Linked DNA regions of Nothobranchius furzeri. The protein of the gene in region 4 purifies or fractionates together with the protein of the main gene of each other region. This does not show direct contact. Links are inferred from orthologs where the notes say so. Each region holds a gene or a part of one and is shown on either strand. Other genes may lie near its edges.

The links.
Region 1: the proteins of dldh (region 4) and pdhb purify together in Homo sapiens (affinity purification with mass spectrometry; 3 studies listed by BioGRID and IntAct, counting the BioPlex papers as one, with this or other methods). This does not show direct contact. The link is inferred for Nothobranchius furzeri from reciprocal best matches to the Homo sapiens genes DLD and PDHB.
Region 2: the proteins of dldh (region 4) and dlst purify together in Homo sapiens (affinity purification with mass spectrometry; 3 studies listed by BioGRID and IntAct, counting the BioPlex papers as one, with this or other methods). This does not show direct contact. The link is inferred for Nothobranchius furzeri from reciprocal best matches to the Homo sapiens genes DLD and DLST.
Region 3: the proteins of dldh (region 4) and dlat purify together in Homo sapiens (affinity purification with mass spectrometry; 4 studies listed by BioGRID and IntAct, counting the BioPlex papers as one, with this or other methods). This does not show direct contact. The link is inferred for Nothobranchius furzeri from reciprocal best matches to the Homo sapiens genes DLD and DLAT.

The regions. Positions count from the first base shown.
Region 1 is NC_091743.1:78,888,371-78,895,335, forward strand, and holds part of pdhb (pyruvate dehydrogenase E1 component subunit beta, mitochondrial), read right to left. Parts: intron 6,460-6,965; coding exon 6,365-6,459; intron 5,013-6,364; coding exon 4,902-5,012; intron 4,745-4,901; coding exon 4,653-4,744; intron 4,574-4,652; coding exon 4,432-4,573; intron 191-4,431; coding exon 45-190; 3' UTR 1-44. UniProt on the Homo sapiens protein: The pyruvate dehydrogenase complex catalyzes the overall conversion of pyruvate to acetyl-CoA and CO(2), and thereby links the glycolytic pathway to the tricarboxylic cycle.
Region 2 is NC_091758.1:32,792,567-32,800,155, reverse strand, and holds the end of dlst (dihydrolipoyllysine-residue succinyltransferase component of 2-oxoglutarate dehydrogenase complex, mitochondrial), read right to left. Parts: coding exon 7,431-7,589; intron 7,261-7,430; coding exon 7,175-7,260; intron 7,084-7,174; coding exon 6,986-7,083; intron 5,969-6,985; coding exon 5,838-5,968; intron 3,772-5,837; coding exon 3,698-3,771; intron 3,627-3,697; coding exon 3,543-3,626; intron 3,452-3,542; coding exon 3,284-3,451; intron 3,092-3,283; coding exon 2,957-3,091; 3' UTR 2,407-2,956; downstream 1-2,406. Other genes in the region: rps6kl1 (ribosomal protein S6 kinase-like 1), read left to right, coding at 1-1,261, 1,338-1,427, 1,555-1,637, 1,726-1,821, 1,889-1,999. UniProt on the Homo sapiens protein: Dihydrolipoamide succinyltransferase (E2) component of the 2-oxoglutarate dehydrogenase complex. The 2-oxoglutarate dehydrogenase complex catalyzes the overall conversion of 2-oxoglutarate to succinyl-CoA and CO(2).
Region 3 is NC_091750.1:45,047,954-45,056,214, reverse strand, and holds the start of dlat (dihydrolipoyllysine-residue acetyltransferase component of pyruvate dehydrogenase complex, mitochondrial), read right to left. Parts: upstream 5,528-8,261; 5' UTR 5,380-5,527; coding exon 5,137-5,379; intron 3,675-5,136; coding exon 3,573-3,674; intron 3,498-3,572; coding exon 3,373-3,497; intron 3,282-3,372; coding exon 3,128-3,281; intron 18-3,127; coding exon 1-17. Other genes in the region: dixdc1b (dixin), read right to left, coding at 7,719-7,728, 7,812-7,891, 8,020-8,128, 8,225-8,261.
Region 4 is NC_091754.1:40,922,818-40,930,873, forward strand, and holds the start of dldh (dihydrolipoyl dehydrogenase, mitochondrial), read right to left. Parts: upstream 4,173-8,056; 5' UTR 4,061-4,172; coding exon 4,022-4,060; intron 3,303-4,021; coding exon 3,227-3,302; intron 2,123-3,226; coding exon 2,043-2,122; intron 1,911-2,042; coding exon 1,842-1,910; intron 1,732-1,841; coding exon 1,662-1,731; intron 1-1,661. UniProt on the Homo sapiens protein: Lipoamide dehydrogenase is a component of the glycine cleavage system as well as an E3 component of three alpha-ketoacid dehydrogenase complexes (pyruvate-, alpha-ketoglutarate-, and branched-chain amino acid-dehydrogenase complex).

The DNA.
Region 1 (6,965 bases), on a different chromosome or scaffold from region 4:
AGAGATCAGCTGATCTGAATAAAACCCAGAGAGTTCAGGTGTTTTTACACGTTGAGGGTTTTTTTGACTGAGAAGATGATGTCTTTGACCTGAGGAAGACTGTGATCCTCTAGGATCTTGGCATAAGGCATGGGGATGTCGACACCCGTTACCCTGGTAACCGGAGCATCCAGGAAGTTAAAAGCAGAACCTAAAAAAAAGGAAAAGTTTATTTTCTCAACTGACAAACAGTTTGCAAGTACATGACCACAACTTCTTCCGACTACAGCCTGGATAACATCAGTGACTTATTTAGCACCACTCAAATTGATCTGGTCCGCTTGGACGGCTTTTCCATCAGTAACAGCCACGCGGGCGGTGTTGACTGTTCAGTAGCAGCTTAAACGTGGTTCTGAGCACAGTGAGCCAGGGCCGAAAATGAGACGTCATGGTTGCTGGTAGGCTAGTGGGCGAAGCAAGAGTAGAAAGTGGGTGTGTTTACAATTTGCTGACCAATTTCTGTTTTTCAGTTTGTTAAGCAGTTTTGTCATAAATCATAAAAACAGAAGTCTCATCTAATCAGCGAAGAAGTGTGTTCCGCATACGTCACTGATTGATGCGTTTAGAGGAGTTAGTGTTTGTAAACACTGGCGCTCCTTAGTGATAATCCATTAGGAATGGGCCATATGGCTTAAAGGCTATATCGCAATATATTTTGAAGCACGTGTGTGTGTGTGTGTGTGTGTGTGTGTGTGTGTGTGTATACACAGGGCTCCTACAGGTTTCATCAAGTTAAAGTCAAGAGTTTTTAAGACCTTTTCAAGACCACTTATATAAAAAGTTATACCTATTTCAAAGCCCTACCGGCAAAAAAATATCGTTGAACTTGTGTTAATTTATTTTTATTACATTTTGCCAAAGCACTCGGTAGAGAACAGCAGCAGAGCTGTTTGAGCTTTCACAGAAAGAGTAGCTAGGTAACGTAAAACAAAGGTTTAACATGACCGCGTCAGTAGGGCTGGGTGCCAGTAGATATTTCTAGATGCTACTACTTTAACCTGGTTTTTGATGGCAGTACCTTAACAATACTTTTGTTGAAATCAATTTTTTTATTTTATGAGAGGATAACAAACTACTTAATGGTTTTATTTTTATCGTTTGTATTACATTTATTTATATTATACTTTATTTCCAAAAAAGTTAAGCAACAACAGAGAAAGCTACAGTGCAAACAGTAAAGGCTGGAACGTACAAAAGGGTCTATTTTTCACCATCTAATTGACACAACATAAACTTTCATATACATTCAAGGCTGCACCATCAGTCGGGACCCAAAACAACCCTTTGCCAACTTTTTGTTCCTCGCTTCACCCAAGGTCCTGCACTCTCTGCGTAGAAGCCAGACTGCTGATTCCTCATCTTAAATACAGATCAAACCTACTCGAAGACTCCATGACTTTACAGTTATAAGCTTAAATAATCATATGTGATGAATAAACAAGATGTTTACATCAAATGTTTGAATAATCTGTGCTTAAATCAATAAAATGTTCTGACAACGATCCATTTATATCACAAATCAGTATGAGTTGATTTAACAAGTTAATCATTGTTTACACTCATACACCATTACAATAAGATACTCATTAAGGTTAAAACCTTGTGTATCTGAGGAGGGCATGGCTTTCTGAGGGATGTTGGTAAATACTCAGAAACGTGTCAAATTCTGATTGTAATGAGTTTTGGCCAAGTTTAGCCAAAGTGGTTTAATAAACAAGAATTACTTCCCGATTAAGATTCAGTTTCCAGCTGACTCCCAATTCGACCAAATCGGGAAAGAAGCATTTTTTGAAACAATCTCCTTTGACCTTTAGTCAAAACCTTTCTGCGACGCAGCAAGCTACTTCAACTCTCAGACATCCACCTTGGACACAAATGAGCATTCCACCTTCCTGGCTTCAGACTGGACGGGTCCTATCAGAGCTGTCTACAGGTTCCTGATATCAGAGGTCCACTCCATCAGCAGTGACCAGCACGACCCCCTGGATCGAACGAGAACCTCCACACCAAGGGTGTGTAGACTGGCACAGATTACGTCTGATGAGCTTAAACAAACAACTCTCTAGTTTATAAACAAACAACTCTCTAGTTTATAAACAAACAACCCTCTAACAACAAATTCTTTTACAACCCAGACAACTTCTCTCAGATACAAAGAACGGTTGCTGAACATCTAGCTTCCATCACACCACATCTCATTATTCATATCTTGTCATGTATAATCATTAGTTTAGTAAAATAATTCATTTTATAAACTATATACTGACTCTGTCTGAAGTAATACAAAGTGTGTTTATGGTCCCTGAAGAAGCAAAGAACCCTAGAATCTTCTGATTAAACATTAAAGATCAGTCAAGTTGATATTTCATATTTGTATGGAATATCACATCTTATTGGTCATAATTAATATGTAGTGATAATGTAAATCATTAATCACGCTTCAATGTGTTATTATTGACTCAGACCCGAGCTTCTCTGGACATATTAAGGCCATAACTAAATCAGTGTTTTATCACCATCTAACATCAAGAGTCAGAGGTCTCATGTCCAGACCAGACTAAGAGAAACTTATTCATGCTTTTATTTCTAGTCGGCTGGACTATTGCAATGGTCTCCTAACTGGTCTTCCAAAAAAGCTGTGAAACAACAGCAGCTTGTTCAGAATGCTGCTGCTAGAGTCTTAACAAGAACTAAGAGAACGGGGCACATCACTCCTGTTCTTAGATCCCTACACTGGTTACCAGTAAACCACAGAATAGATTTTAAAGTGCTCCCACTAGTTTATGAATCACTCAATGGCATGGGACCAGAATACACGTCCCATCTCATTCCTGTATATACACCCAATAGGGCTCTGAGATCCCTTGGAAACAATCAGCTGGTAGAACCTCGGGTCAGAACCAAACATGGTGGAGATGCATTTAGTTACTATGCTGCACAAATACGCAATCAGCTTCCCCATGACCTCAGATGTGCCGCAACCCTAGTGTTGTTTAAAACAAAACTAAAAACCCTAATGTACTCATCAGCCTTTACATGAATTGTTTCTTATGCGGCATCGTCTCCTCTGTAATCTGTGATGTAGCTTTGTTTTCTCCTTTAGCTCTAAACTGTAAGTCTATCTGTGTGTATTTTAATTTGTGTTTTTATGTTGTTTTCATATCATGTCCTGGTAATTGTATAGCACATTGAGTTGCCTCTGTGTTTGAAATGTGCTCTACAAATAAAGCTGCCTTGCCTTGCCTATAGAACAGTCTTTACTCTTGCTTGACTTCATGTCAGTAACAGCAGTAATAACAACCTGCTGAACTGCATTTATAATGCTGCTAAACAGCAGCTAAGTTGGTTTTATGTCCCGTTTCTGCTTTTATCAGCCTCCATCCTCAGACTCCTCCTGTGTTTTGGAAGGTGATGGACAAGGGTTTACTTTTTTGCGGTCAAAGCTCTCCATGATGCCCTGCACGATGATGTGATTTGTTAAATTGCTACTATTCCTAATTTTTGCAGCACAAATCTCACTGGTGTTGCATTTAGAATGGATTTTTAGCTTTTTCGAACTGCAGAGAAGCGCTGTTAAAAGGAGACGCGTCTCCACCACTTGTAATGTGACTTGGGATCAGTCATGTGACCCACGGTTGCACATTGGGACAGCTTTATACTTTGTTCTGATATCGGTACCTACCGAATGTTTTCACTCAGTCCCAAAGAGGTCCAGCGTTCTGGCACCCAGCCCTAGGCGTCAGTCAGCCTTTCTACTGGTCTGCTGAGATTTTCTGCATTCCTCCTCTGCTGGAGGTCTGTGTTATGTTAACCATTTAGTATCGCTGCTGTAGCGCGGGAGCTGAATACATCACGCGTTTAGAATACTTTGACACGAGGCTGAGCTGCGTTCTCAATGATTGGTTCCGCCACTCCTTATATATGCTACATTATTTAATAAAAATGATTTTGGTTGAGAAACGAAACATAAGAGGAGAAATACAATATTTACATACAAATTTTAAGGCCCAGTTGTCAAAATTCAAGACTTTTTAAAGACTTTTAAAGATATTCTTTCCAAATTCCTAAATTAAATGCTTTTAGGGCGTTTTAAGTCCCCACAGGAACCCTGTGTACAAGGGTCTCCAAATCTGCAAATGGGTTCTAAATCCAACGAGTCACCAGTTGAGGTTTCACATCGCAGTGTTTCCCCTACATAGGCTCAGCGTGGCGCGGTGCCATGCATACGAGACCCCCCCCCCCTCCACACACACACACAGATGCACAAAAGGGAAGCGCCCAGCACACAATGCCTAAACAATGCACGGCAGCAAAACGGTCCGCGCTCTTCTACTACTACTTCTATTACTGATAATGTATACTAATACTACAAATAGTGTATCGGTTCACTACCTTCCATGACTCTGGCACAGATCTCAGCTCCGACTCCAAACTGAGGCCAGCCTCCCTCCACCGTCACCAGGTGGTTGGTCTTCATCACGCTGGTCTCAATGGACTCCACGTCCATTGGGCGAATGGTCCGAAGGTTGATGACCTGAAACCAAGAGATGGAGGAAGTCGCTAACAGGCTGAAGAGGTGACTTGAAGATGACCTTACAACTGTGTTTGTCTACCTCACACTCAATTCCCTCTTTAGCGAGGACAGCTGCAGCATCCAGGCAGTGACCGACAAACCGAGAGTGAGACACCAAGGTGACGTGATTTCCTGGTGAAAGAACACCGACAGTCAGCGAGGATGCTAAGAGGTCTCGGAGCCTGAAGCCTCACTGAGATTTCTTCACTTTTCCTGCTCACTGCTTTTACAACCGCTGAGAAAATAAATTAGCTTTTGGTCTCCACAGGAAAGAGGACATCACTCTCACCTTGTCTCTCAATTTTTGCCTTGCCGATGGGAATGGTGAAGTCTTTGGACTGCGAATCCTCAGACATCTCGAAAGGAACGCCGTACATCAGCTCGTTCTCCAGAAACACAACTGCAACAGAAAAAGTTCTCACCTGAGGACGTTCTTAGGTTGTAATTACACAGTGCATGTGCACGTGCAATATTCTTTGGTGGTACTATGGTAATAGCGTATACAGTTGCTGAATAGCTCTGTCAATGCTGTCATGAAAACAATGTAGTGCACTTATGAGACAAAAATGAAAATTTTAAAAAGTCATTTAATATGTAAAACAGATGTTACATTTTCAGTTTCACTTAAATTTATTTATATAGCCCCAAATCACGACAAAAGTCGTCTCAAAGCACTTCACATAGTAAAAAAAAAACTTTTGGAGGCGTTCCATAAAGTTTATGATCATCATGTCATCATGTGACAGTGCGGATAGAAGATCATCAGGGGGTCTTTTGTTCCCTCTTTGGGGGGAAACTCCCACTGGGTTTGAATCTGGGACTCTCCACCATTTGACCTTAGAACTGAAGAAGCCTCTCGGATGAGAGGTGAAACGTCTTCAAGCAACTCAAAGAAGTCCAGACGCTTTTCTTTCAAAGCTCCTTAGACCAGGGGTGTCAAACTCATTTGAGCTCAGGGGCCACATTGAGGGATATCTAGTCCCAAGTGGGCCGGACCGGTAAATTAAAAAAAAAAAAAAAAAAACTTCAGATTGTTTTCTTTGTTTTAATACAATCAATATAAAACGAGGCTGTAGCCTGAGGACAGTGTAGTACAAGTACAACACCTGAAGTGTACTTGAAAATTTGAAAAAATAGAAAATAAAAAAATCAACAAATAAACATTCCTTAGTGATTCAAAGAGCTTACAGATCACATGGCAAGATCAGTTCCATGCAGCACTTAAAGAATATTTGACTCATTTTACTTTACATCTTTTAGCTTTCACCAGCACATCAATATTGCCACTCAGGATGCCAGTCATCCTGAGTGGCAGCCAACTTCAGGATGTGATTCAAGTTCTTGTGTGAGCCTTGAGCGCAGCTTTGTTTTATTTATACTCATTACAGAGAAAACTTGCTCACAATGACAAGTTTATTTTCACTCTACATTGTAAAGTATGAAAATAAAGTTTACACAACCGTCTCGCGGGCCGGATTTAACCCGCTTGCGGGCCGGATCCGGCCCGCGGGCCGCATATTTGACACCCGTGCCTTAGACAGTATCTGAGATTCAGTTTCTGAAGGGTCAAGGTCCAACCCAACTGTTTGTTAATGCCACTTGAGTCTTGCATTATAATTTTTAATTACTCATGGTAACACCGTACACCGTGGTAAAATGTGGAGGAGGTTTAACTGTGCGCGCGTGTGTAAGCGGTTGAGAAACCCTAAAACTGGACTTAAATTTGTCTCTCATCCTGCTGTTTGGTCTCACCTGGATTATCATCTCTGATAGCGGATTTCAAGAGACCTTTGGCATCTTCTGAGTTCCAGGGACTGACAACCTTCAGACCTGGACAGTGAGCGTACCTGCAGACAAAAATCATACAGACTCCACTCACGTGTCATACCCATGCACCAAACCATAGAAACTCCTGATCTTGTCCAGGGGCCTCATTCATCAGGCGTTTGTAGAAATATTCCTTAATTCGTTCCTACCAACGAAATCCACAAAATCCTGATTTATAAAACATGCGGTGGCCTCACGTACGCACGTTCTTCCACACTCGTTTGATGATAAATCTCACCTGTGCGTACCCAGGTGCTCATGTCCGTTCTCAGTCAGAAACACCCTCATTTAACCATATCTGGTCACGCTACGTCTCAAGCTCATGAGTGGAGTACCTAGGTTCCTCCCGGAAAAAATTAAATAAAACTTTGTTGACAGCAAGATCAAGACACTGGTTGCCGAAGTGAAAGAGAACCAAACACGTTGCAGAGGTTATACACGCAGTCGGGACAGAGGAGAGGTTCCCATCAGGAATAAATAAAAACTTTAATATGATAGATTGTTTAGTGACGGGTTGTCATTTGCA
Region 2 (7,589 bases), on a different chromosome or scaffold from region 4:
GACACGGATTTTCCATCCTCGTGGGATGAGACTCAGCAGCGACTGGAAAGCTGCGGCACTCACTCGTACATCGAAGAGACTGGATGCTTGCAGAACACGCGCTCTGCAGCATCGTTTTACACCAAGCTAGATCAGCTAACTCTGCTTTCTGGGCTCACAAGGACACAGCTCACCACCCACATCCATCCACCAGCTCCTAGTTTGTGTTTGCACTCCAGTGAAACTCAGGAAAAGCCTGCTCTTCCTCTCCCTTGCACTCGAGTAAGTCAGGCTCTTGATGTCATGTCAGAATTCCATAAAAAGAACGTGGGAATGGGGCTGATAGAGTGCAGTTCGGACTTTGAAGCAGCTTGGAAAGCTGCAGATCCATCACACAGCTGTGAGAAAACGAACCCCTATGCAGCGTTGGACAATAACTTATCAAAAATTGTTGAAGCAACTACAAATCAGACACCTCTCAATAAAACAGGATCTCCTGCAGGTCAAAATGAGGTTCTGGGTTCCTCTCCTGCCATTTTACACCTTCCTCTCCATTGCCAAACCCAAATCCATGGCAGGGCATCATGGGATACTAATGGCTCCCATAAGGGACCTTTTTTAAATTGTACCTCTGCAGAAATAAATACAGACTCAAAGCAGGACTGCAGCAGTCCAACAGTTGAGGAAAAAAATGGGATGATAGTTATCAGGAGCACAGACAGAGCTGTGTTTTCTGACCACACGGATACAGACACCACCTCAGAAAGATCTTGGACTTCCTCTGCTTACCTTCACCCCTCGAGTGCAACTACACAGGGGGCGCTCTCAGGAGTCTCACTGGGCCACACTGGGGTCATTTATAAAAGCGAAACAAGTTCCAATAGAAGAAAAGAGAGCATAGAAGTGGCCTGCGAAGTTCTGAGTCCCGGAGACAAGAAGTCGACTCTAAAAGAGAGATCATACGTAGGCTGGTTCTCCTCTGGCTCTCTTCAAGACACATCCCACGGGAGCAGAAAGGATTCAGTGGGTTCCCTTAAACCAGAAGGATCAGATAGGAATGCAGATGATCAGATTATTGAGGTGGATGGCTGGTGTCATCTGCCGCAGTTTCCTGCAAAGACACCCCGACCTGGAGATAATTCCATGCAGACCTACTGGGGGCTTCCAGAAGCAGAGGTGCGTGTGTGGGGGGCACAGATCCTGCTAGCTCTGGAGAGTCTGCACCAGCAAGGCATCCTGTGTCGGGATCTCAACCCTAGAAACATTCTGCTCACCAGCAACGGTGAGAGAAGCAAATAAATGTTCAAGGATTTTACAAATACGAGTGTTTTTGAGTTTAACTTGACATGTTTTCACAGGAAAAGTGTGTTTGACGTTTTTCAGCCAATGGAGCGAAGTTCAGTCAGAGATCAGCAGCAAAGCCATGGAAAAGATGTACTGTGCTCCAGGTAGTGACACCCTAGTGCCACCTAGTGGTGAGATGCAATTAGCTCACGACCGCCACATAAAGAGCATTGAACATTAAACTTTCAATGCTTTTTGAGCAGAAACATGATTAATTTCTTTTTGTGGCAGAAATTGGGGGCGTGTCCAAGATCACAGAAGCTTGTGATTGGTGGAGTCTTGGAGCTTTGCTCTTTGAACTTCTTACAGGAATGGTAAGATATTTAGGCCAGTAGGTTTTATATTCTGTATCACGGCAAACTACAGTAAAGGGAATATATATGTATATTTGTATTGCTTCAGCCGCTGTGGCAGCTCCATCCTGCAGGAATCCACTCCCATACTCAGCTGGTGATCCCCGACCACCTGAGTGCTGCAGCTGCATCTCTGCTCACCGAGGTTAGCCATCAGTATCCAAACAGGGGTCTGTAACCATGCTTCAATTCTGAACCTTTTCACCTTGCAGCTGCTCCAGTTTGATGCTGGCTACCGCTTGGGTTCAGGAGGTGGAGGTGTGAGTGACATCAAGTGTCACCCATTCTTCAGCAGCGTCTCATGGAAGGCTCTGTCTTGCTAGCACAAGTTGGGACTTGCAGATAAACTCTCTGCTGGAAGCATCTGACCTGCCAGAAGGAATGTAGCAGACCTCAGCTGCACTTTGTGCTTTCCATAGAAAACTACGAAAGTTGAATAAAAGTAAAGACACATCCATAAATCTAACATGAATCATGGATTTATTCAATTCATGCAATAAAAAATAAGGTAATTTTACCAGCTTTAGATTTGTTCCTGAAGCAAGAATCTGCCTCAAACTAAAGAAAATATGTTCATCTTATTTTAATGAGTTGCTCTGTAAATACAGGTAGATTTGCTAAGCACTTCTAAACCTTCTGTGTGTTTATGTAGATGCTCAACTAGTTTTTTTTTTGTAGACTTGCTAAAAAAAATTTACTAACGTGAAAAAATAAGCATCCAAACAAAAACTACAGTTGGGTAATGAAGCTTTTATTGTTTAAAACGTTGCTTTTCTCTCTTGAATACTTTAACTCACACAGCAAGAAGTTTTCCTCATCCTCCACAAACCAGATGGCATAAAATCTGAGGATTTCTTCACTCTGGAGACTTTAAAACAGCATTTCTAGTTTTCCAACCCAATATGTGCTCATTGTTCTTTTCTCAACCAGAATCATAAAATTATATCGCTGAAACTTTAATTGCGTGTCATCTCACAACAGGTGTTTCTTTTCTCAAGCTTCGCGTAGAAAATGACAAATGCAAATAAGTTATAGAATTTCTTGTTTGATCCAACGACCAGCACCAGAAACCTCAGAGAGACCCAGAACAGGACCAAACCTTTAATCCTTGCCAGTCTTACAAATGTCCATTGCACAACCCAACTGTTGCCAGAAATAGATTTTCCTAGTTAACCAATAAGACGATACATCAACTGTAGTTATGGTAATGTTCATTGAGTGTTTACACAGCCGCTGTTGGTGTGGGAAGTGGTTTGGTTGGGCCCGGAGCAGACGAGGGTTCACATGTCAAGGAGGAGCACTCTGGGGTCCTCCACCACCGACTTGATCTTACGTAGGAAGGTGACAGCCTCTCTTCCATCGATCAGACGGTGGTCGTATGTTAGCGCAACATACATCATGGGACGGATCTCCACCTAGGAGGAAGAAAAGTAATCACTGAAAAATGACCAATAATTATTTGCTAAATTTGTAAACATATGCAACATTTAAATGTGACCCCCCCCCGTTTACTTGAGAATGTAGCCTGGTTGCTCATAAATAATGGAGTAAAACCTACAGTTGTTTAAAAGCAGACACGTTTCAGCAAATGACCAGAGGATACAAACCTTGCCTCCGACTGCAACCGGTCTGTCAAAGATCCCGTGCATGCCCAGAATAGCAGACTGTGGAGGGTTGATTATCGGTGTGCCGAACAAGGACCCAAACACACCACCGTTGCTGATGGTGAAGGTGCCTCCGTCCATGTCTTCAACAGCCAGCTCATTCTTACGAGCCTAAAAACAACATCCAGACCCAGTTATGCAAACATTTCATCACTTTTCATGCAAACGTGTACAATTTAAACAATTTTAATACGATAATCACCTTTTCTCCCAACAAATTGATTGCTTTCTCGATGTCAGTAAAGTTCATCCCCTCTACATTTCTTATGACGGGAACCACCAAACCCTGGAAAAAGAGAACATAGCCGAACGTTCTAGCTCTTTGTTTTTCCTTTCAGTGAAATCCACTTTTCTTACCTTCGGTGTAGCTACAGCCACACTGATGTCGACATAGTCCCTGTACACAATCTCTTTGGTTGTATCATCAATCACTACAAACACAGAAAATAGGATTATTATGATTTAACTTCTCCAGATTAGACTATTAATCACCACTATATTTCTGGCAAGATCAAGTTCTTTCCTTGTGAACCGCTTTCTGTCACATGCAAAGCTAAGAGTTGTGGTAAGTGAACCCACAGGGCATTTCAGATCTTTAAAAGGCATCAGCATGCACCACCCTAGCTTCACTGTGGTCTACCTAAATAGGTCAGAGTGGTCTAGAGCAGTGGTTCCCAACCTTTTTCCCAAGGGACCCGTTTTTTACCAGTAAAATTGTTGACGACCCCCTCCCATTCTCTCTTCCAATAAACGTTTGACACATAAAAAATACACTGAGCAAAATGTACTTAAATGTGTATATTACTGTTTTAGGGCTGAAACGATTCCTCGAGTACCTCGAATAATTCGAGTACAAAAAATCCTCGAGTCAAATTCTCTGCCTCGAGGATTCGTTTAATTCATATTTAATTAATTTGTGGCTTTGCAGTCGCCCGTGGTCATGTTTCACCCAGACTGAAATAAGTGACGCACATGCCCACTGGACTGCACACGCGAGTAGCGAATGTAACTTAACTTTCTCTTAAGCCATGGCGGACAACGTGGACCCCGGTGGAGTGCGAAAAAGACAGAAAATGTCAAGATGTGGGACCATTTTTCACGTCGTTAGGCGGAAAACGTACTCCAGTGTAAATACTGTAAAATGGATTAAGCCTACCACAACACCACATCCTCCATGCTGCAGCACCTGTAAATGTCTCTTCTGCAAGCGGACTCGGAGCCTCTACAAGATAATGCATTTTAGCCTGTTTTTCTATATATTCTGTGGACACTGTGCGACTTTTTCGTTTGTAGCAGTCAGTTTCAGCTCACACCGTACGTCTGGTAGCAACACGTCGGACTTAAAATGTGCTAAAAATAGCAGTTTTTACACAAAACGTCGGACTTTTTATTGTGTTATTGATGTTTGTTGTCCTTCGGGATTGCTGCAGGAGGACATGGGTATTTATGAGAGGAAAACGAAAGAAAGTAAATAAATGTTTTGTGATCAGTATAATTTGACAAAACCACGGCAAACACGCTTTCTCGACAATCCTTGTTATTGTGTGAGAAAAAAGTGTTGAAATTAAAACGAACGTGTGTTAATAGGGAACAGCCGGCGAGCTGTTTGCGCATGCACCGTGAGCGGTTCTGGTTCTGTTTGGGCCGCAGCCGCTCGCAGCGCTACTTCAACAGTTATCCTCCTAGTTTTTGTCTGGCTTGCAGGCTAGCAGATTCTCGCACGAGGGGAAAATCGGCTCAGGTTGTGTACTTATTTTTTGCACAGCCATTTGTTTACTGTGAAGTAAAGTTGAAGTGCTGAAGTTTTGAAAACTAATTTTGAATAAAACTTGAAGAATAACTGGCAATAGCTTGCTCATTTTAAGAGGTCTTTCATATTTTATAACATGCTATTTGATAAAATGGTTTACAAATACAAAAGGGTAATTTATTAGAGTACTCGATTAATCGAAAAAAATATTCGATAGAGTACTCGATTACAAAAATATTCGATAGCTGCAGCCCTATACTGTTTATACTAGATTATTTACTGTAAAGGCTGTGATTAATCAACCAGTCCTATCTTTAATGAACTTTTGACACTTGAAAATAAAACAGTGAGCTGAGCAAAATGTTCTTAAAAGTGTGTTACTTTTTCTGTACTAATTATTTCCTGTCTTAATATCAGTAAACTTTTCACTCATTAAAAAAAATGTGAGCAAAATGTGGGCTATAAACAAGTAATAAATGACGTTTTAACCCCTTAAAGTGGAGAGGCCCTGGCGACCCACTGAGAGGCTTTGGCGCCCCCTTGTGGGGGTGGGGACCCCCAGGTTAGGAACCACTGGTCTAGAGGAAGTAAATAAGTTAGAGATGGCTTTGAGGTTGCTGAAATTAAAAAATAATACATTGAAACTTTCTTCACTACACACACACTTGACGTGACTTGACGCCACACATGCAGACGTTCCAAAACTAACACCAACATGTTGAAGGTTTCCAGAGGTAAAATCTTTACCGGCATTGACAGCAGGTTGGTCTGTCAGAGCGTACGCAGCAGCCTTTACGAATGCGGACATGAAGCCCAGCTTGATGTTGTGTTTTTTTAGGAAAGCATCCTTGTACACCTTTCTCATCTCCGTGATGTTGCTGCAGGAATAAAAGCAGGAAAACACAGAAATCCATCAACACTTTTCAAACGCTTTAAACAGGAAGAAACAACGAGCTGAAATTATTCTCTTGAGAAAAATATTTTTGTTAACTATGAAATCACGGCTCTACAGCTATAGTGGGGGAATAGAGCTATTAAAAACGGTTGCTAATTGTTTCAGTATTGCTCATTCTTCACTTGTATCTCTCTTTTTAATTGTTTGTTTTCCTGTCTCTAACCCTGTTGAAGTTCTAGGGTTTCTCCGCTAACGGAATTAGCCCCTCCCAAGACACAGACTCTCCGAGAAAGGAGAGAAGAAGCGATAAAAATCTTCACTTTCTAGAGCCTGTAAATCTTATTGGGCTGTCATAAAAGCCCATATCGGTTGAGGCAGCTCTTCCACTCAGAGCGCGGGTCTCTGTGGGCCTCCGCAGATGCTCCGGCCTCCTGTTCTGACCAGTTCCTTCGGCTCCAGATGAGCCCTAGACTGGGAAGTCTTCCTCCAGACCGTCAATGTCAATCCAATTAGGATGCACAGAAAACCCTGAATAGCTGAAAGCCGACACCACACATTTGCAGGGAAAAGAAATCCTCAAAGTGTCCTCTTCAGCACAGGGTGGCAAGTGCACACAATAACATTTCCTTGTAAATTAATAAAACCTGTTTTAACAAATCTTATCTTTGTTTTAGATGGAATTATGACCAAATATTTACATTCCAGTGTTTAAGAGGATATTGGGTTTCAAAAAGCTTTTCCTATTGGGAAGATTCCAATCTATAACCATTTGTGGGAGTGTTGTTAAGCCTTTTAACAGGAGCTGGAAGTGGTACTCGTCCTGGAATCTTGTTTGCAGCAAAAATACATACATTTTCTAAAAGAATTAGACTCTTTACACTCAGTGTGTGTGTTCCACTTATGTGTTTATGGTGAAATCAGCATATTATTGTATTAAAAAAAGCAGCACGGAGGGTTTAAATAGGTAGGCAAGTAGGTCAGTTAAGTGAGAATTTCCCACCTCATGTCGACCTCATTAAACGTAGTGAGCATGGCACAGGTGTTCTGGGCTTCCTTCAGCCTCTGGGCAATTCTTAGTCTCATGCGGTTCATCTTAACCTAAACACACACGTTATTAGCCACATTAAATATTTCACAACTTTTTTTTTGCATGAACGTGTCATTAAATCAGTTTAAACATTAAATTTACCCTGCTCTCTGTCCTCGCTGATTTAGCCCCTCCTTCTGCCTGAGCTGATGGTGCAGTCTGAGCAGCAGTGGGCTTAATGGCTGACACTTTGGGAAAGAGAGATTTAAAAAAGCTCTCAGTGTGGCTGAAACAGCAACGAAACACTGTTTACAGAATCCCAAACAATGATTAATTGTTAACGTTAGAGGTCAAGAACACAGATGTCAAGCTAATCAGTTTTCACGAGACCCAAGCTGTCTGGTGGATGACTACTAACCTGGTTTGGTGTCCATAGCATGTGCGGGCACAGGTGGCACAGGGGGCATGGTGGTGGGAATGGGGCCCACAGCTGAGGGGGGAGGTGGGGGTGGTGTTGGAGCAGCAGAAGGTGGAGGAGAGGCTGCAGCAGGAGCCTCAGATTTAGGAGCTTCTGTAG
Region 3 (8,261 bases), on a different chromosome or scaffold from region 4:
AGAGCAGGAAGTGCCACCTGTAACAAACGTGGAGACTTGGTTCATTAGAGGACCAGCTCATCACTCTCCAGTGTGTCCTGAACTAGGATCGTCTGTAAAGGCCAAGTTAGTCGTGACATCACATGCGACGTCATGTGAGCGGTGTTGGGAATGACGATGATCTACAAGCACATTAGATTTTACCTTAGTGACTGAATTGTTGTGGCGACTTGGGATAAAGCGATAAATCAGGCTGACAATGAGCTGATTTAAAGTCCGGCACATCTGCGGGCAGCCCAGTGCCGCTGCTGATTTTTATTTATGTATTTAGACTCTTTAAATGCATTGGCTTAATAAATGCTCTAAAACATAACTGTCAACTGATTTTTCTTTCAGTTCACATGCTTTTTAATAATACCGGGCCTGTTTATTGATCTGTTTTATTAAGTTTGATTTTGCACAATTTGAAGATGCAGGAGTTGGAAAATTTCAGAGTTCAAAAACCAGTTCAGGTTCAGAAACGTTGAGCATCAGCTAGGGCTGAATGATATTCAAAAACGCATACAGATAAAGGAATATTCATAATGATCGATAATTACTCATAAATATTTTTTACATGTAGAAAATATATTTTAATGCTGCCCTGGCCACTTTATGCTATTCCTTAATTAACTACTTTAAATAAAGAACAGAAAACGTAGTTAAATTCAGTATTTTATTTAAACATCTTTATTTTACCAGGACTGGATGGTTACAGGAAAAGAATGAATTGTGTGAGTTTTTCCAGAAAAAAAATAAAAATCAATATTTCAGTTCAAATCCTGATTTTCTTCAAATCAAGGTTCAGCTGCAGCACATTATCCCCCACATACAGTGATATTTACAAATCTGACTTCCTACCATCCTGTTGTCATTCACTGCCTCACTTTTCAGTAGCGTTGTTTATTTATTTCTTCCTCTTTCACCGATTTGTCCGCACCGATATTTACTCGTCCCTCACGTTAATGTAATAATTGCTCCTGGCATTCCGCGCACACACGTCACAGCGATCGAAAGCGAGCTGCCCATCTGTGTGTGTGTGTGTGTGTGTGTGTCACTCACTTTGGCTCCTCCAACTGTAGCTATTTGGCTTTTCACATGTTCAAACACATTTCTCTGGAACTCGTAAATCTCCGAGCGTGTGGGTGGGGCAAAAGATACGCAGAGAAGTCTGTGCCGTCTTTCTTTATTTAAAGTGACTGTGTGTATTTTCCCTGGCAATAGGGGGAAGTACATACCTAAATCATTGCAAGTAAGCAGTATTTATGTGTTTGAGTAAAACCTTACTAATGGATGGCCTTTAGGGTCAAAAATTCCTGGAAGCATGGACGTAATTTTGACTTTAGATGTAGGGGACACAACTGGCATGAGGACGGGTGGTGGGGTGGTGGTGTCTTTATAGTAAGTATACAAAACATATGTATAAAACTAGTCTAGAGGCTCTTTTATGCAATGTCAAGAATGCAGAACTGTCAAGTACACAGGTGGCAGGAACGGCCAATCACATGTTAGCAAGTATCAGCAGAGCCAATAGCTGAGCTTATGGACGGTTCTAATAGGAAACAGGCTTCACCACAAGCAGTTGTTTTCCGCTTGGTCCTAGTGCTCACCCAGTGTCTATTTAGCTTCCTGGTCATAACAAATAAAAATCATCGATTTGCCTACGCTACAATAATTATAAACTTTTACAAGCTGATGAATCTCAAAGTAGGTGACTGGCATAGTTGAAACAGTGTTTCAGAAACACCCATCATTACTTTTCATTTAAACTGCAGTACAACGTGTGTGTGTGTGTGATCCAGGGCGTAAGGCAAGGCAGATTAGAAAATAGCGTTTTTAGCCCCGTTGACTTGCAGTCATTTTTTCGTTCTTCCGGGGACCCGTGAGCCGACCGGAAAGGGAGGAGACTTAGGCTCCCTATAGCGTTATATTGTTTTTGGACAGTAAAAAGTGCAGATGACAAAAAGTGACTTTGGAAAAGGTGGGGGGACATGTCCCCAGCCCAAAACTACATCCATGCCTAGGAGCATAACTTCCAGCAGAATGACAAGCACATCAGACCCCCTTTCATCACTGGTAACGAGTGAAAAAGTAAATGTGTAAAACAACATTTATGAATGGTGAACGTTTTGCAACCGTTTGTTACAAATCAATAAATACGTTTTGTCCTCACAGGCTGCCGTAGAAGTAAACGAGGCATCTAATATGGCATCGCCCAGAGACTTAGACCCGCTACCGTGTATTTTAGACCAGATTTTTATGGTGATATGTTATGAAGCCGCAAATGTTTTTCAACAACTGGGCATTGTGTTAAACAACATTTGATGGATATTTTCAGAGAATACCGGAAAAAACTACAAATTTTCTCATTAAGCAAAGATGTGTGTGAGCAGTATTGCTTTTGGAGCCTTCTGATATGAAGGATGCTGCTTACGACTCTCTCTCAGTGAGACTCAAGAACCACATGCTGTCTGTCTGGGCTTGAGAGGGGAGGGCCTGGTGACAGAGCGTGCCTGGATCGGTGTTGTTGATTGGTTGGGAGTCTAGTATTAAGCAACCTGATAGGCTCAGGCTACATGAAAAAAAAGAAATCGACGTTTTGATTGACCCATTTCTTTCTATCGCACCACATGTCTATCGAGTTATATTGTCCAGCCCTAGCATCAGTTGTTGGTATCAGTGACCTTTAAGCAGGCTGAGAAGGTGGAAAACATCCAGATATCAGCCCCCAAAATCTGCAGCTCATAAAATAACCATGACCTCTACATCAGCATCGGTATCGGGAATGGAAAAACCCATTTTGGTCTAGTGGCAGCCATCTTGAACTGGACTGACTCCAAAAGTAAATCAGTTGTAGACGACCCTCTGATGACAGTTTCACTAAAATCAGTCAAGTGGTTCATCAGAGAGGTTACTGTCTGCTATCCAGTCGATGTGGTGGAACTTTTATTTTTATGGAAGCAAATCCATCCACAGTCATAAACGTGTGTGTGTGTGGGGGGGGGGGGGGGGGGGGGGGGTCTCTGCTTTCATTTTCGAGGAATTCAAGCTGCTGTAAGAATCCCTCAGCTCTTTTATGCCACCAGAGCTCCCATCACAACCAGCCTACCTTCATGTGGGGGGGGTAGGAGCTGCCTGGTGCTGCTGGAGGAGCAGCAGCAGCTGATGGAGGAGGAGCACCAGAGGTAGCAGCAGCAGGAGTAGCACCAGCAGATCTGATGGAGTCCAACGTTACATCTTTAAAGGCTGTGATTAGATCTGGGCTGCAGATGAAAACATATTAATTATTATTAATATTATAACTTTAATTCACCACACATAGATCTAAACGATGTAAATGATAAAGATACCGACCTGTCGACGGTGATGCAGATGACTGATCCAACGACGACGTCTCTGGTGCCTTCAGGAACCAGGATCTTAGCCAGATAGCACTCCTCCAGCATCTCGAACCCTACAGTGGCTTTATCAGTCTCCACCTACACACACACACTTTATTTACTCAACAAATCGTGATGATATTTCAGTTATCTATGATCCACAGAGCTCCTAACCTCAGCGATGAGGTCGCCCTCACTGATCTTTTCCCCTTCCTTCTTCTCCCAGCGAGCAATGGTCCCGGTCTGCATAGTAGGCGAGAGCGCCGGAAGCTCCACCTGATGAGCCGGAAACAAATCCAGGTAAAAACAAACAAAAATACGCTTCATAACAGGAGGATCCCAATCCAGCCGAATGTCAGGTGATGTGAGCGCAGCTGCAGTGTCACCCCATCCCAGCTTAATGAATGACCCACAGGCCTGATTTCCTCACATCTGGGTGGACTTTATGGTCACTGCTCTGGGTCAAGAGACATCCAATAGCAGAGATAAGCAGCAGCTCCCAGCGGAGGGTTCCCAAATAAGTATGCAACAATCCAGGAACACAAAATCAGGGATCAACCAGGACCCACTCCTTTAAATGTATGTGTAGCGTGGATGGATCGTGTTTTCAGCTTCAGCAGATTGTTGAAGTCTTTTTCTAATTACAGCTTCTTGAGATAAATCAAAATTGGCCCAAACTTATATCAGCAGAACCAGAATCTCATTTTTACCTGATAAAGTTCTCATTTTTGTTAGTAAGCTGTTTTAAAACAACTCGTCTAACTGTTGTGAACAGAAGCTTTTTGAAAACGTCAACATAAAAATCTGATCTATTCTTTTTGAATAACAGTGAAATGTAAAGTAGATTCTGACGACAATCTGAGCATCTTTCTGCAATAAATGCATGCATCATAGGTGTTTGTTAAGAACAGAATAAACATGTAATAAAACAAATAAGAACAGTTAAAGTAGTAGTTAAAGAAATGATTCCTGCATTTAGACAAAGAAACGTTTTGTTTTTTCAGTCATTCATTCAACCAATTCAACCAAAATCTCATTACTTCAATTATAAGAAAATAGTTATTTATTTAGTTTAACGGCTAAAACCTAAAATGTAAAAACATTGTCTACATGTTCAAAGTAAAATCACCAGGAAATGTAAGTAATACAATAAATAAATAAACGAGATCTGTGTTTCAAATTCAATTCAAATTCAAAAATACTTTATTAATCCCAGAGGGAAATTGATAACTCCTGATCACTGTTATTCATCTGGGCGAACACCCATCCTGTTCTTTAAGCTTCTCCTTTTGGTTGTTTCTTTCCTTTCAGGCCATTTTAAAGTAGTTTATGGTCAAATCTCATGAATATTTATGAATATAGCGTCTGGATCTGATTCACAGAGTTTTAATGCTGAGAATCTTTAGTTTGTCCTTGTTTTTCTATTATTAGTGTGAGCATCATCACCGCCCCTAAAGAGCAGATTTCAGACATCCTTCCTGGATATAAACACCAGCGGGATCTATCTGCTGGTGGAGATGTTCTGATGGAAACAGCAGCAGGTCTGCTGCTGCAGCACATGTTTAGAATTATTTAGAGTTTGAAACATCTGATGTTTCATCCTTTAGCTACTAATGGACACATTACACCGCCACCGCCTCGTTATGGAGCTAAGTGCTGCTGTTAGGTGTACAGGTGTTTTAAATCTATCGGTACCGGCTCTGACCCGGTGCCAGAACCGGACAGCGGTTAACGTTACCTTCTGGTGCGGCGGCAGACTGTAGAGACGCTTGCTTTGGCCGCCGCCAGCCGGGCGGGGACACCGCACAAAGGTCGTTCTGTGGCTGAAGCCCAGGGCCACTGTTCGGTGTCCGCTGTGAAGACGCCTGAGACACCCGGTTCCGGACACGGAGAGAGAGCCGAAGGCAGCAGGCCCAGCCGGTAGGACACGGGAACGGGAGACACCGGGACACGGCCGGAGCCGCAGCATTAAACGAAGCATTCTGCTGCGTGTGGAATCGAACACCTGTCTGATAAATAATTTACCTGCCTCACAGCGGCATTAGAGACGAGCTGGCAGTAAAAACCCGGCGCTCCGACTTTACTCCTCACTTTCTAATGACCTCCTCCTGTCAAAAACACACGCTTTACGGCACTCCTGTCGCTGCTTCAAATCAAGTGTCGTAAAAAAAGACACTTCAAATGAAACAAGATACATTTCACACGAAGCCATGATTATAAACAAACAGTGCTAGTTGTGAAATATTAAAGCAGATTACAAATTTTGTTTATTTAAACTTTAAAATATTTTAGATCTACAAGGTCAAACGGTGTAATATCCTCAATTGCCACACGGGGGCAGTAAAAACAAGCATAACCCAGCAACTCTACTACTTCCAGTTCATTTTGAGAATTCTTTACATTAAAACTTTAATTTTAATAACTGACCTGGTTTTTATAACCAAAACAAAGCAAGGTCTACGACTGTAAAACATCTTATTTATTAAACACATTAGAAAACATATTGAGTTGTGACCAAATAAGCAATATCAATATCATTTAATCAGACAAATCTAAAATATATCTACTGATGAAAATACAGCGATGGAAACCAGAAACATAAGACTGCTATGAAAAAAAATCTGTTTTATTTCAAAATATCTAACATTCCTCAAAACGATTTCTTCAACATGTTTTAATCAGACAGTATCCATGTTTTGCTAAAGAAAAAATCTTTTAACAACATAAGTGCAAAAACACCATCTCGTAAACTCTATATTTACAGTACAGGCAGTTGCGGCATTAAAAACATTCTCATCACATCTCCTCTCTTTGTGTTGGCTCACGTTGACCTAAACTGGAAAAAGACAGGAAAAGATCTGATGTTTTTTCAAACATTTCAACTCACAAAGACAGGCGCATTGCAAGCTTTTCAAAAGTGTGGGGGATGTTGTCTGTGGATGTCATCAGCTGTAAATTGAAACTCAACCCCAATCCAGTAACGGGTCCGCGCATAATTCACAGTAACAAAGCCCTTCCAAAAACATGCTAAATATTCACCAATCAGTGCTTAATTTGAGCCGGGTCTTGCCGGAACAAGATCCAGGAACTATCTTATTTTGAAACAACCGTTCCAGCAACTGTCTGCTAGGATCTGGCAACTCACGCGACAAACTTGTGCTATACAGAGGATTCGCATTACGGGTGAGCTAGGGAGCTTCAGGGGGAGCCAATAACGATCCGGGTTCTACTTATATTACATTATTCATGTGGCCTCTCCAGGGATTATTTTGACCTGAGAGGTGCAGAGCTCTGATCGTTGATGCGCTCCAGACAGATGCGTCCTGAGCACGGCCACAGTAAAATTCTCAAAGTGTCACCACCTCAAAAACAAATTTAACAGGCGATCATTCATGTCGGCTCATATCCTGAAGCGGGGAACAGTGAAGATGCAAAAACTACCATTGTTAGAAGGTTTCTGCCAATGTCGGGTTTCAAGGAGAAACAGGAGAGGGAGGGGGAGAATGAGATGAGGCAGAGTGAGTGCGAAGTAGAGAAACCAGACTGGTGTGTGGAGGTGGGCAAAACGGCTGGAAAAGTGTGGGTGTTGAACGATCTCAATAAGAAAAGTGGGTGTTGAATCCCCCACATCCCCCAAGGGTGCCACGCCCATGCATAAAGACTCAAATACAAACCATAAATAAGCTGATTACAAAACAAGGCTCCTCAAAACATTAAAAATTGCACCCAACAAAAACCAAATGAAGGTTTCAACTAATAATCTCTATTTGAACAAATAACAAATATTTTCATTTCTTCAAATAATAAAATTGTGGATAAAATCATAAAACAAACCCTGAAGTTAATCCAAAAGAAGTGATGCTTTTGTTTTTACAATGACATCAAAACACAGACGAGCCTAAAATACATTTAGACCTTAGTTCTGTTGACAGCAGATGCTCTTTTCAGCCTACATTAAACTAAAACTATAAACAGAAAAGTGTCTGGATTCAGGTCATGCACTCGTGTAGACTCAACCTCGCACTAACACCTCTATCAGAACATCTGTTCCTAATCTTTAATGAATAAGTGGCTAATGCTGCTGATTCTGATGCACCATTGTACCAGACTACACGACTGAATCTGGGGTCTACGAGGCCTCGCTGGTGCACGACACCAAACACAGAGAGACTTTCTGTCTCACCTCCCGGAGCTAACAGCCTGAACCACAACACTACTGCTACAGTTACGGCCTGAGTTCAGGCATCAGCAGGGCGAACAGCTCTGGTGGTTGTCTCTGGGTGATGAACAGCTGATCGATGACACATCATGGCTGTACACCTACAGCGGCCTAAAACAGAAAGAGAAAACAAGCTTGTTTTAAACCAGAGCTAACATAATTAAAGGAAACCCTCAGACGTGACATCCTGTTACCTCTCCTCGCCACCATCCTCTTCCAGCCAGGCCACGATTTTTCCCTCCCAGCCTGGAACGACTGCTCCATCCAGAAACACCTTGATAAACAAAGCAATGACTTCACATAGTGTGAATGTTTAGATCTGCTGCAGCACAGAACCAGACTCATCCCACTGAGAGTCCAGTGAAACCCTGCTGTGGCTGAAAAACCCCAGCTGTTCCTTACCTCCTCTTTCACCGTGCCAAACTCCGGGTCTAGAGCTTTGAAATGATATCTGTAGTTTCCCTCTCGATCAACAGCTGCCTTCACATCTCTGAGCGTCACCTCACCAAGCCTGAGCAGAGGAAAATCCCTCTCCTCTAACATCTTACAAATCTGAATTCTGACGTTAAGAACGCGGTGCTGGTGTGTCTGAGACGACCAGACTCACCTCTTGGATACATGGATCATGGAGGGTGTCGGAGATT
Region 4 (8,056 bases):
CAGCAGTTACTCCACGGCTGAGCCAGCAGTTCCACCTCTGCTACCTCCTGTGTGCATCCTCTGCAGGGGTGTCAAACTCAAATTCACACTGGGCTTAAACGAGAAACTGGGACGAAGTAGCGGGCCAAACTCAACATTTATTGAAAAGTGACGAGAAATGTGCACATGTTCCTTCATCTACAGATGTGTGTTGTTGAACCGTCTCATTTGGAAACAAACTTATTTTTACATAAACACTGAATCTGGTACGACTAAATTACACACGAGCAAGTGAATCTTAAACACATCAGTCGTTACTTATGTCTCGATTTTTTAAAACTTTTTATTCCTTCAAATGTGTTTATTCAGCATTTATTACATTTTTACCTTTTGAATCTTTTAGTTTCTGTTTTCTTGTTGTTTACTCTTTATTCTTATTTTTTACTCTCCTTTTCTGCTCCTGTAATGAATGTTATTGCTGCTGTTCTGTTTCTATTCTACTCTTCTATCTGTGGCCTTTCCACTTCCTGTTTTAGAGTAGGCTTCATCTTTTTTTACAGGCCAACAACAAAAACCAAAAAAATAGCAATTCTCTTAAATGAAAATATCTCATTAACTTTCATGCTTTGGAGCAGAAAAAGTGCATGAAAACTAACTAATCCACTCTGATTTACTGCGATGCTCACCTGTTCCAGCCAGACCTGCACCTGTGGGGTTGGACTCTAAGCTAAGAAGGAGTTCATCAGTGAGACTTTTGTTCATCTTCCTCACAGACAACAGTTGCTCACGGAGATAAGTGCTGCTGAACATAGAGAACCTGAGCAGCTAAGGCCGGGTTGGTGAGCTTTCCATGTCAGCTGTGGACGGACTGCGGAGCGGCTGAAATCTCAATTTCTGGACTTAAAAGTCAGCAAACTGCAGAGTAAACTCGGCGATTTGAGGAGTATTATCAGCTTGTTTGAGGCCGAGGATGGCATCGCTGCAGACGCGGATTCTAGTAGCACGGATGCTAATGATCGTAAACAGAAAGGAGGGGGCGCTTCTACTGCCTCGCTAACGCTGCAAAGCACAATGAGATTTGTGGTCTTTGTGGCAAAATGGTTTTAATATATATTTGATCTCACAGGCCAAATAAAAACAGATCACAGGTCAACTTTGGCCCGAGGGCCTGAGTTTGACACCCGTGCTTTACAGAGTCTCGTGTTCTCTGGGCTACCGGCGTGGGTTTTACACCGGCACCACCTACTGGGGGACAAAGAACATAGAGCACAAAGCTCACCACTTGGGGAGCATACACTGTATTGTACATTATAGTTCAATAGAAACCAGTTCTGGTTTGGTTCATTTATCTTTTGAGTTTTTAGACTTCCATGCTTGAGCCTTTAAAATGAACAAACACAAAAGTAAAGCATCGGAGTGTGATGCAGTGCTTTAACTTCTTCTGCCTTCAGCTCAGGATGGACGGCCCCCTAGTGCCCCGTATGAACGAGCCATCACTTGGCTGCAGAAGTATTCAGGAAGATGCACGTCTCACTTGGTCTGTGAGGTTTGAGAGCTCTGTAGCCAGTTGGGTTGCGCCTGTTCAGTTTTCACGTGTGTCTGAAAACTGCTGTGGAACCCGGTCGAGCCTGCAAAGCCTCATAAAATGTAAAACGTGTGTCAAGAACATCGTCCCGTCTTACTTTCGATGCCTCTGCTTTCAAAGTCCTTGCCGTGTGCCATGTGGTACAAGTAGGAGTTGTTGAGCAGAGCCTACAGAAAACAAAACATTTAATCAATCCAAGGATTTTACTTCATAAAGTCTAACTAAATGAGTCTAAACAAGCTTAACTTCCTGATCAACACAGACACCAGCTCTTTACCTTTGAGGGGATGCAGCCAACATTTAGACACGTCCCACCCAGTGTTGCATTTTTCTCAACACAAACTGTCTGCCAAAGGAAATCCAATTGTTAGAAAACCCGTATTCATTTTAGAAACCAGTTTCTGCGGATTCAAGGTTCACTGGATAGAAGTAGCAGCAGGTCGGGTACTCCCGTGTTTGTGTCACAGAGGAAACTCACCTTAAAACCAAGCTGTGCAGCTTTGATGGCAGCGACATATCCTCCGGGACCAGAGCCGACCACTGTGACGTCTGCATCAACTACAAAGGAAACACACCAAAACCTCACTCACAACAGCAGAAACACAGAACACACACCCTGGGATTTACGACAACATGGATGGATCTGGGGCTAAGATGTACTCCGCTGTCGGGGAAAACTTCTAAAGAAACGAGAGAAGCAGTCTGACAGAGGGACTCCAGAGACTAGGGAAGTCCCATTATGATATCGATATCGGAAGTAATTTGATAGCGGCCCATAAACACTATCGGATTATGTCGCGCGGCATCAAAAATCTCCGATATAAGCAGTCTGTTAAAGTTCACATTTTTGCAACCAATGGTTAAGAAAAAAATACTGTTATTGGCTCTCCGATTGAGTACCATCACTTGATCCAGCCTTTCATACATTCTACACTATGACACAGGTCAAAGTCTGTATGATTTGTGCTGATATCGTATCAGATTGATATCGGTATCGGTCAATACTGAAGGCTGCAATATCAGTATCGTATTGAAAGTGAAAGTTGTATCGGGACATCCCTACTAGAGACTTTACTTATTGCAATGAGATGGCAACAATACTCTCATTGTTAGGACTTTATGTTTAAAAAAATGTGGCATTTTATTCTAGGGGAAACAGAAAATAAAACAATTATGACCCCAGGCCTTACGTCACTTAGAAACGTCCCAAAATGACCTGGAATATCAGATCTGGGCCCTAATCACGGCCTGATGTACCGGTATGTGGTTCCATGTGTTGGGCCCCAACCCTGCTTCATACAGACCAACAATCACCCTCTCACTGACCATCTGAACCATTTCATGAGCAGCTGCTGCCAGGAGGCCGACTGCCAAAGAACATGTTGTAAATGCCTGGTTTGAAATCTCAAAATTATATCTACTGAATGTACTTTAGCTTTAATATGAATTCATATTAGTAGGGAAAGCATGATCCCATGGTCATCTGTCTGAAGTTTGTGTGTTTTAGAAACAACAGTCATTTAAAGTGGGTCTGAACATCACAGTGAAAGTGCCTTGTCTGTCTGGGACAAAAAACTTTGATGAGGACTTGTGTTATATTTAAACTAATAGAATGAAACAAGATTTCATGGTTTCAATGATCAAACTTCCAGGATTTCTTACTTGCTGCTTTGTCAGCAAAAGTTCGGACGGACACAGTAGCAGCTCCGTGCAGCTTGTAGGGGAGCTGGTGGTTCAGCTGGGAAGCAAATCACACAAGCATTATTGATGAAACACCAAAACAAACTGATAAACTATGTGGGTTTTAATTCCCTGTTTAAACCTTCAAATGTTTTCTTTACAGAATATTTACCCTTGCTAAACATGCAGAGGGCTCTACCAACGACAGCACTGTTTAGTTCCTAAAGCAAAAATGCTTCTGAAAAGCGAATACTATAAAGAATAACAAGGACAGATAATAGGTCCTTCATGTAGGCTACATGGGAACCGGAGCTAGCAGTCTTAGCATGCTAAAACAGTGAGGAAACAAGTCAGACGTGAAACAAACACAAAATGTTAAACATACAGTTAGATTTAAACGTGATACATCACAGAGACATACTCTACTGTTAATGAATTGCACATGGTGATCGAAAAGTATTACAAAAGTCCTGATTTCATTGACATTTGTGATTTCCACCTACACTAGATTTGACTCACACACAATGTGCAAATTGAGAACGTATCAAATGGCACATTAAGCCACGTAGTACAACAGCGGTGTGATATGAACTTTCCCAGCGGAATATACTGAGATAAATGTTCTACATACAACTTCAGTTAACTGAGCAGCTAGCACGTCAGCTAGCATAGCTCGAGTACGAAAATACCACTCACACACCCTTAGCGACTGAAACCAGCCTGACATCTTTAATGACAACACGTGGAGCCTAACGTAGTAATAATTATCATCCTTACCGTGGTCACCGAGCGATAAAGCTGCGTCCAGCTTTGCATTTTGTGTGTTTGTGTCTCTGACCGGCTAAGTAACCTAGAGTAGAGCAAGCAGCCAAGGACTCCTGGTAATGCGCATGCGCAGTAGGCGTCCAAGCTCCTTTTGTAGAAAACTTTATTGGCCATCAACTATGGCAACAAAACAAGCCTCAACTAGAAAAATTTGCATTTATTGCACAAATGCTGTTTGAATGCTGGAGAGCTGAAACTGTAAGCTGAAGCTGCTGAACAGCTGAACTGAAGCTGAAACAAAGCAAAACTGTCAAAATGAGCTGAATGTCTTGAAAGATGTAGAAGCAAAAAGCACAAACAAGCAAATAAAGCACAAAAAGTAAGTGAAGAATAGAGAAAAATAATGTTAAATAGCAAAAAACTGAAATCTGTGAACATCGTATAAAAATCTGAACAGCTAAAATGTCTTAAAACCTGTTATTCCAGTTGGACAAGTTTAACAATTTAATCTTTACATTTAGCTGAACTGTGAAATTAGCAGTTTATGCTAAATTTGGTAACTGATTGCTGAAGTTGTTGAATAGCTGAAGTAAGCTGAAACTAAGATAAACTGTCAAATGAGCTGAATGAAGCGAAAGCTGGATCGCTAATATAAGCCAACAGAGCCTCGTATCGCCTAAATAAAACATTACATGTTGCGTTAATATAATACGCTATAAGCTATGCTTTTGTATTAATCTACTACGTCTATGTGTTTTCTTAATAATGGTTGTAAGACACACATGCTAACGGCCTGTTAACATGCTCCCACTCACTTTTGGGCATTTCGGCGGACAGCAGTCGGTGCGGAGAACAAGGAGAATCTCCAGCCTTTGTTGGTCTACCTCTATCTCTGCTGACCACGACGCTTATATCTATGGTTGGTTAACCATCTAGTGATCCGGAGAAGCTTTCAATGACCGTTGTCTTGTTTTTGCTCAGGTTCAGGCTCCACCAGCAGCCTCCAGGCCCAGCAGCCAGGCTCCACCAGCAACCTCCGGGCCCAGCAGCCAGGCTCCACCATCAGCCTCCAGGCCCAGCAGCCAGGCTCCACCATCAGCCTCCAGGCCTAGCAGCCTGGCTATACCAGTAGCCTCCAGGTCCAGCAGCCAGGCTCCACCATCAGCCTCCAGGCCCAGCAGCCTGGCTCCACCAGCAGCCTCCAGGCCCAGCAGCCAGGCTCCACCATCAGCCTCCAGGCCTAGCAGCCAGGCTCCACCATCAGCCTCCAGGCCCAGAAGCCAGGCTCCACCAGCAGCCTCCAGGCCCAGCAGCCAGGCTCCACCATCAGCCTCCAGGCAAAGCAGCCTGCCTACTACACCAGTAGCCTCCAGGCCCAGCAGACTCCAGGCCCTGCAACCTCCAGGCCCAGCAGCCTCCAGGCCCAGCAGCCAGGCTCCACCATCACCTCAATACCAGCCACCTGATCCAACCATCAGGCTCAGCCTGGGGCTCCAGGCTCCAGATTCACCGGCAACCAGGGCCGAGAGAGAGGTAAGCCTAATACAATGGTCCCTCCTAGAAAAACGGAGAAACTCGAGGAAGATATGGAGGAAATTTTAAAAAAGCATTTAATTTTATGTCAGCCGAGCTGTCTAAGCTAACAGTACAACAGGATCAACTACTATCATTAATGGACGAGGTCAAGACACTGAAATTCAAGCTTGCAGAAAGGGACAAGAAGATCATGTATTGGAACAGAGGGTGGATGAACTGGAGCAGTATACCAGAAGGGAAGACTTGGTGATAACTGGTTTGGAAACAAGACATAGGACTTATGCCAGAGTTACTGGAGATGGAAATACTACTGAGGATGCTCCGCAGGAAGAACTCCAGTCACTAGAACAACAAGTGTTGAGCTTCTTGCACAGTTAGAACATTAATATCCAAAGTGAAGCAATATCAATCTGTCATACCCTTCCAAGAAAGGCAGTCGCCTTAAAACCAGTCATCATAGTGCGATTTACCAGTAGGAAGTACAGAAATGAGTTGTTGAGGCAAGCAAAAAAAAAACTGAAAGGTACAAATGTGTACATAAATGAACACCTGACGAAAAAGAATGAAACAATAGCCAAAGAAGCAAGGGTGCTGAGAAAACAGAAAAAAATCACAGCCACATGGACGAGAAATGGTGTTGTAGAGAGCAAGAAGGTCTAAATGCAAAAATGATCAAAGAGTTGAAAGATCTAGAAGTGTTCCAGGGTAAAAGATGATTTATTGTGTAGCACTGGCTAAATAATGGATAGTGGAATCAGTTTAACTATGGATATGGAAGTACAAATGAATTCATAAAGAATAAATGGATTCCCATGAGAAAATATATGAACTTCACAGTAAAATAGATGAAAGTTTTTTTGAGTTAAATATAAATAGTAATTATTATGCAGAAGATCCTCTAAATAGTGGGATAATTAACAATGATTCATTATCAATCATACACATAAACAGTAGAAGTTTAGTTTCCAAGATGTCAACAATAAAGGATTATTTAGGTAAATTTAAAAGTTAATTCAAAGTCATTGCCATTACTGAGACTTGGCTTTATGATGAAGGGATGACTGAAGTACAAATAGAAGGGTATGAACTTCATTTTGTAAATAGAATAAATAAAAGGGGTGGTGGCGTTGCCCTGTACATTAACAATTATTTAAAATGTAAATTAGATAAGAAAATGACTATGATGGAAGATAATGTTATGGAAGGGGAGTATTCAACAAACTGTTGTGTTTATAGAAATTCCATTTTTTTTAATTAACTAATCTCTGATTCCTTATGGGGTATATTCACATATAGGTTTGATTACTAACATCACTGATTTACATTTTAGTGTTTAGTGTTTCTTTTTCTTAAATTATTACTTCTCTTAAAGATATATTCATAGATATACATTTCTGCATTACATCTTTACAGCTGATTCCTTTTTGCCATTTCTATTATGATCTCCTTTATTTTGATTTTTGCCAGTTATGGGCAACAGATTATTTAGCCCTTCTGTTTTGATAACATTTTTGCTCAGAAGATTTTATTTTCCCTTACATATATTATAGGGTTTTGTTAATTTTGTTCTTTTTGCAAAATTTTTCCAGTAGTTTCCTGCATCCATTTCTTTCACCTGGACTCTGTTCACATTATTTGCTTTCACATAGCACATTTAGGTACATGTAGTGAAAGGTTTCTTTTATTTGTTATTTTACATCAGATGCGATATATGCGAAGAAGAAGAACATCAGAGCCACGTGACTTCAGGGCTAGCTCCAGAGAAAGGCCTCAGCCTCATGTTAATAGATTCGGCCATTTCGACTCTGAACTTTAGTTTTGTCACTGTGCTTCGATGTCAATCATAGCTGGACAAAATGGAAAGCTGTGGTTACTAACAGATCATCCAAGCAGTTTCTGCTTCTTTAATCAGAAAGTACATTTAAAATTCTGTACTTTATTTTGCAGGTTGAAGGGGGGGGCATAAGAACCTTGAGCGGGCGCCCAGCCTCTCCTGTCTCCTGCCTGAGATTAGCAGGAGGCTGCCTGTTCCCATTTCCGAAGCAGCCGGGCTGACTCCGAAGCGAGGCTGTAGTAATGCTGGCCAATGGTGGATCTCTGCGGGAGACCACAGAAACAATGCAGCTCTTTTTGTTGATGCTGCTCCACTTTGAAGTCAATGAACCGCATTTTTCTAGCTGAAAACATGCAGTCGGCTTCAGATTAGCATGTAGCTTATGTCCCGCTGATCTCCGGTCTCGGAGAAGGGACCATCAACAACGACGGAAACACAGATCTTTCACCGAGGTGGACCATCGAAGCCTGATGTCCTCGGTCGGCTTACCTAGTTATGATTTTGTTACTAAGCAGGCCGGAGGTGCCTTTACTTTGGAGTTGCTCTACTTCATTTTTCTAGCTGAAAACTCCGTTAGTTTTGGGCATGGACATATATACTCCGGCTGTGGCTACAAGTAGCTTACCATCACTAGCAGTGTGTGAATGTGAGAGTGTGTGAAAGCGTCTTTGGGTGTC